2 separate regions of the Mus musculus genome follow, and region 1 is reported to be linked to region 2. The links are microRNA targets in miRTarBase. Many come from high-throughput screens and were not tested one by one. Region 2 holds a microRNA gene; the other region holds the end of a gene's coding sequence.

What was found. Region 2 holds the annotated microRNA mmu-miR-344d-3p (GAUAUAACCACUGCCAGACUGA, at 1,188-1,209, shown strand). A microRNA usually pairs through its seed, bases 2 to 8, with sites in the 3' UTR of a target mRNA and lowers its output. Matches are read on the target gene's strand: a 7mer-m8 pairs with bases 2 to 8, a 7mer-A1 pairs with bases 2 to 7 and ends in A, and an 8mer does both.
Region 1: miRTarBase lists Cxxc5 as a target of mmu-miR-344d-3p. Seed matches in the 3' UTR shown: 7mer-A1 at 2,656-2,662.

What each region holds. Positions count from the first base shown.
Region 1 is chr18:35,860,093-35,863,502 of GRCm38, reverse strand. Cxxc5 (CXXC finger 5) reads right to left here. Exons shown (of 3, transcript NM_001357458.1): 3 at 1,810-2,853. The coding sequence ends at 2,809. Among named protein-coding and RNA genes, the nearest start is that of Gm41693, 11 kb to the left of the region's middle.
Region 2 is chr7:61,683,078-61,686,487 of GRCm38, reverse strand. It overlaps Mir344d-2 (microRNA 344d-2), which reads left to right and starts at 1,137; the gene lies at 1,137-1,216. Mir344d-1 (microRNA 344d-1) reads left to right here and starts at 3,296; the gene lies at 3,296-3,364.

The sequences.
Region 1 (3,410 bases), not on the chromosome of region 2:
ATTCCCAAAGTTCTGGCATCAGGGAAATGTAATCACCTTATTAGGATGTTTTGTTTCAGACAGGGCTGTTCTCCTGTCTCAGCCTTCACAGCTGGGATTACTGGTTTGGGCCACCAGAGCTGGCCCAAATATATATTTAACCTCTATGTATGTGTGCGCTTATGTGCTGGTGAATGAAGTGGCCAGAAGAGGGCGCTGGATCCTCTGGAGCTGGAGTTACAGGTGGTTGTGAGCTTCACACGCTGGGAAACAAACTCTAGTCCTTTGTGAGAGCACCAAGTACTCTTAGCAGAGACTCATCTCTTCGGGCTGGTGAATAGTTATAAAGTAGCAGTCGCCCTCGACCACTGCTCAGGATGCACCAAGCCTGGCCTTCATGATGGCGGTTTCTCCTTGACCATCCACGGGGAGAGTATCACTTCCCAGGGCAAGGCTTGGCTTGGCAGCAACCCGTTCCCTTTGCTTCCCTCAGAAACAGTCTGGCTAGTGTCCACCTCACAGTGCCCTTGGGTACATCAAGAGGCAGGAACTCAAAAGTGAGGGGCTCTGGACCTTGGCTTTCTGCACTGTGGGGTGGGCTACGGCCGAGTCACAACATCCCCTTCCCATTAAGGCTGGCACTAGAGCCACCCACCCCACCCCTGGAGATGTGCCAGAGGGCTGGCCTAGGCCATCTGCAGTCTGTGTGCTGCCAGCAAAGGCCTCCAGCCCAGTGCCCCCTGCTGGCCAGGCTCCCCACTCCCTCTGAAGCCCTCCCTTCTCCTGAGGTTCTGGAGATGCAGGTTTGCCTTGTGCTGCAATGAGGGTGCCCCCAGCTGTAACACCCCCCACTCCCTGCTGGACACCCCCCTTTTGCAGAGCCGCCTGGAGAGATCACAGGCAGCCACATGAAAGGGAATTTTCCCAGGCAGGGATGGAGTTGAAAGCTACCTCCCCCGCCCCTGCCTACCCCTGCTGTGCCAGGCCAGGCTGCTGAGCCCTTGGTGCTCCAAGGGAGCCTGTGACACAGGGAAAGGGTTGGGGTCAGGATCCCTCCTCCCTGCTCCCCCCTCCCTCTTCCAGGAACAATAGCAGACAGCCCATCTCTCCCACTTCACCACCCACTCAGCTCCAGAAGCCCCACCTTGCTTTGTTCTGAAAGCCTTCACCCACCTGAAACCTTGTCAGGAAGTCCTTCTGCAAGTCTAGCTTCCATCTCTGCCAGGCTCAGAGCAGATGAGGGGAAGGGGAAGAGCACTCCTCTAGTGGTTGGCAAGGCCTTATCCTTCAGGTTGGCCTCTAGGATGTGTGAAAAGCAGCATCCGAACCACACACCTGTCTGTTACAGTCACCCTGGCCTAGACCATGGGCTCTGTAAGGATTTCCCCAGATGGCGGCTGGCTTCTGAGGTTCTAGACCGCCCCTTACCAACCAACCCTCTGGAGGTCAGAGCAGGCAGTGCACTTCTTAAAATCAGGCTGGAATGGAAGGGATCCAAGACCAGGCATTAGAGGGCACAGCTGCATTCCAGAAACCCAGGGGAAAACTGTGTGGGTGGCTAGGTGTGTGGGAGATGGCTGCCCCGCAAAAGGACCCAAGTAGTCCAGGCCCACTCCAATAGCACAGTCTGCCTGGCAATGGTCAGGTTAAAGAGCTAGGAGCTGGGACGCACCAACCCTTCCATACACAACGGGTTCCGTGCTGTTTCCAGGATGCCTGTTCCAGCTCTCACCCTACCTCCTGGGTCCAAAGGCTTCTCCTTCCCAAGAGACTCTAGCCAGCCCCAGCCCCAAGCCAGCCCCCCAAAACCCAAGAGCAAGAAGCCAGGAGTGTTATCATGACACAAACATGCATTCAGTTTTATTCACAAAACAGCCTGGTCTCCTAAAACAATACAAACAGCATGTTCCTCAGCAGGGAGCTGGCCACGGGCAGGGGGCCCCCTGGGCACCCACCCCTACCAGCAGGGGACCACGCAGAGAAGCCCTTTCTTCTGCTGCTGCGAGCAAGGCTGAGAAAAGAGGGCTTATTTTCTCTAAGGGAAGTAGCCAGGATCAGAAATACTGAGATGTGGGCTCTCCAGATCTCAGTGGATCAACAAATGAATAGAATTTTCATCTCTCCAAAATCCATCACTGTTGGGGTAGGGGGAATCCCAATCAGGGGACGATGGGGTGCAACATGGTCGGGCCTGGGTCAGGAACTCCCAGTCCCAGTGGGCTCTGGCCCCTCTGCACACATGGATGGATACAGAGGGGCTTCTACACGGTGCCACCACCTATTCCTTTATAAACGTGAATGGATTCTCCAGGCAAACTATGCACTATTTCATGGTTGGAAAGAATCAAAGGAAGTTTAAAATGAGAGTGGAGTTAAAACTGTGCTAAATTACAGTAGTGCTTATTAGTAACTAGATTGCAAAAGGTTACAGAAAATTTACATTCTCTACACAAAAACAGCATCTCCCGCACAGACAACATTGACATTGACATTGACACAGGAAGGAGACTGATTGTCCATTCTTTGCCCAGGAAGTCTCGGTACTTTATAGATTCGTCTTTACCTCTCTTGTTGTTGTTGATGTTCTTCTGAAAAAGCAGTTAAAATTTTTTTTCTTTTCTTTTTCTTTTTATACTAGGGACGTGGAGATGTTAAAACGACAACAAAAAATATATATATATAAAAACAGGAATGAAATCTGTGAGAGAATATTTTTGGTTCTAAAGACGGGTGCATCCGTTTGTCTTCGCCCGAATCCCTTGCCGGAGACCACGCGGGCAGTGACATTGCACGGAGAGGGCAGCTTTGGGTTCCCGGCCGTCACTGAAATCACTGAAACCACCGGAAGGCGGCTCCCGACGGAAGCATCACCTTCTGGCGGGGCGGGAGACAAAAACAAGGAGAGAGTTCAGTCAGGGTCCCGGTGGGCCTGGTGCAAGATGCTCCCCGTGGCCGGCTCAATGACGGAGGGACGGGCATGGAGAACGCACGGGCAGTTACCCCGAAGAGTTCCGGTCATCTCGGCCAGGCCAGGTTGGCCAAAGGAGGAGCCATGACCCAGCTGGGCTACCCAAAGGCCCAGAGCACCCAGAGGCCTCCTGAGCCACTCAGATGCCCAAAGGCACCTAGCACCAGGTGGCCATCGTTTACCTGGGGCCACAGCTGCGTTCTGGCAAGTGAGTGTGAGCACTGCTGTGTGCATGTGGCGGGGAAGCAGCCAAGTCTATGATGAGGAGGCCTACAGGGCAGGTGTACACATGGGTGTCCACCCTGGAGTGGGTGTGCCTTGGTGTGCTGGTAGGTAAGCAAGACACATGAGAGAGAGGCAGGCTGCGGTCAGAAAGGTGGCCAAAAGGCCACGACTAGGATGCCTTTCCAACCATTATGGAGTCAAGCCACTTTGCAAGGAGTGGAGACGAGTGGGCAGGGAT
Region 2 (3,410 bases):
ATTCCTGACAGTAGAAATCACATTAGAGCTTTATATGTGTCAGAAAATTCCCTGACCTCTTTAAAACCACACATTAAGGAATTGAAACCCCATAGGAAGAACAACAATATCAACCAACCAAACTGCTCCAGAGCTCCCAGGTACTAAACCACCCACCAAAGAGTATACATGTAGGGACCCATGGCTCATATGTAGCAAAGGATGGTCTTGTCAGGCATCAATAGGGGAAGAATACCTTGGCCCTGAAAAGACTCAATGCCTCAGTATATGGGAATGTAAATGCAGGGAGGTGGATTTTTGATGGGTGGGTGGGAGAACACCCTCATAGAAACAGAGGGGTGGAGTATTGGAGAAGGGGTTACTGTGTGAAAAAAGGGGAATGGAGGATAACCAATAAGTTAAGAAAATAGCCTATGAAAATAAAAAAAAATAGAATAGAAAATCCACACATTAAAAGTTCCACATATACCATATTTGAGTGTCAATAACCACAGCATATTAACACAGTTTTGAAAATTGAGTTGAATGAAATATTTTTCAGATTTATGTGACACTGCAGCATTTCATACAAACTGAGTACAGGTGGAGTAGGGCATGGGCAGAATACTAAATTTAGTATTAAAATAACTCTTTGTGGAAGCATGAAAATATAATATAAACATTAAATTATCAAGGAACAGCCATGCACTGAGCATACAACAGATAATTTGGATAAGGAAACAAAGGCACATCACAATGGGTGAGCAGGCAGCAAAAAATTGTAAGATAGACAGTCAGGTGAAAAGGAAACTGAGAATCTCTGGCAAATAACTTAAAGCTAGGAAGAAGGAGCCAGAAATAGGAAGATTTCCAAAGTCACAGTGACTTTTTTTTATGTTTGTCAGTGTAGAATGAATATGTTTAAAACATTTTTTACCCTCTGCTTTTAATAGCCCTGCTTCCTTCCAGGAAGCCAGAGAGGAGCCAGTGAGGTATGAATCAGCACTGACGGAGAGCTCCAAGTATTCAGCAGGACTTGATGTCCATGTCTACATATGGGATTTCTCTCCTGATTGGATCTGATTCAATTCTCTATTTGAATACACATTCTCAATCAATCAGAAGCAAGGAGAGCAAATAAATTTGTCTGCCAGGGAAGATTTCATTAGTCTGGTTGCTGGCTATATTCCAGGACTTATCTGGTCCTGGATATAACCACTGCCAGACTGAATGGTGCTAAAGAGAAGGGAGAGTGCTTGTGTCACTGTCAGCAGACAGCGCCAGTGAAATCATCAAAGCCTGTGCTTGTTTATTTCAGAGCCTCAATGCACTGATTGCTTTGGTCGTTTTGTATTGTAGCTGTCGCTCTATGGGAGATTCGGAGAATCTCTATGGGAGATTTGGAGAATGACACACTTTTCTCAGTCATGCTGGAATATGTCTTCTGCAAAGAAGATACAAGATTCAATCTCAGCTTGTGACAGAGACTAAGAAAAATTTTCACATTTTCACAAACTTAGGTTAGACACTGTGAGAAGTGCTGTGGAAGCAAATGCCTGCTACATACCACCATGGAGTCTCTGAAAAATCTTGATGTAACTAATAGACACAGATACTACCTTACTCAGGAACTAAGCATCCTTAGGGCAGTGATTCTGGCAGCAGGTTTTTATTTATGGTATGAATATTCAACAATTGAAACATTGTTTATAGTGTTATTTTATATTTAATATACTAGAATCTTGAGCATGTATGTTCTTCCAAGCCACTTCATTACTAACTATATGTTCAAGAGAGTCATGGGTCCTTTAGGGAAATCAATATATCATCCATCTCCTGAAGATCTCCACCTTGGTATTATATACACTATAGAAATGAAATGAGCACAGAAATTTTCATGGGGAACTTGTACTAGTGACTCCTTTGAGACCTATATTTTTTTTCTGTTATTTCGAATCTGTCTTAAGAGTCCAGGTCACTGTTGTATATCCTTGACATTTCTGAAATGTATTACTTTTTTTTTCAGATAATCTTTACAGTAGTAAACGAATTACAATTGTATGTACATCAAAATAATCTCTGTCCTCTTCATGAGCACACTTTAATTTTTACTTCACTTTACATATGGTTTTGATTATCTACAGTCCATGAACAATGTTTTCAACTCTAGATTACACTTAATACTCTCTCTCTATATATATATAAGAGACAGTTGCCGGGTGGGGGAAAAAAGAGACAGTTGTTTATTTTGTTATTTTGTTATTGCTCTTGTCCTTTACTAGATTTTCTTGGCTGATATTCTTCCACATCAGTTCTTTGCTATATAACAGCTCTTTAGAATCCGGAACCCTTTACAGAAATCAATAGATCATGTCCAGATCATCTCCAGCTGGTTAAAACGCAATATAAAGGAAGAAATGGATACAGTAATTTTCATTGTGATCTTGTACTCGTAGATATCTTGAGTCCTAAGATTTCTAATTATTTTCATTCTGATTTTAGAGAGCAGGCCTCTGTTATATATTCTGGATATTCATGAACCAGTATTATTTTGAATAATATATTCCTGACAGTAGAAATCACATTAATCTCTATATGCATCAGAAAATGGCATGTCTTCTTTCAAACTACACATTATATTTTCCTACACACAATGTTTTGTTTTACATAATCACAGCATATAAATATTGTTTTCAACACTGAATTTCATTTAATATTGTTCAGATTTTTTGAGACACTTGAGCATTTCATGAAAATTGAGTATTTAGGAAGCATAGTATGGGCAGAATATTGAAGTTAGGATTCCAAATCCTCTCTGAGAATACACTATTAAACATTATTGTACTAGGAAAGGTTACAATCAGAACATAAAACAGAAGCAATAGGGGAAGAAGATACAGGCACATCACGATTATTCAGCAGGCAGCAAAATTTCAAGATAATAAACAGTCAGAAAGGCTTGAAAAAAGCAGGGGAACTCCCACAAAGAGCTTAAATTTAGGCAGATGAATCCAAAAATCAGAACATACTTAACGTTCCACTATCTTGTATTTCTGTTGGTTTGTGTAGAGAGAAGGTTTGTCTGCCATCCACTATCCATTTTTCTGCTTTCTTTGGGGAAACCAGGGTGATGTGCTTGAGCTATGAATCAGCAGCATGGATGGAGATCTCCAAGGTTACAGCAGCATTTGATGTTCATGCCTAGAAATGAGATCTCTCTCCTGATTGGGTCTGATATCATTCTCTATTTGAATACACATTCTCCATCAATCAGAAGCAAGGAGAGCAAATAAATTTGTCTGCAGGGGAAGATTTCATCAGTCAGGCTGCTGGCTATACACCAGGACTTATCTGGTCCTGGATATAACCACTGCCAGACTGAAAGGTGCTAAAGAGAAGGGAGAGTGTTGTTACTGTCAGCAGACAGAGCC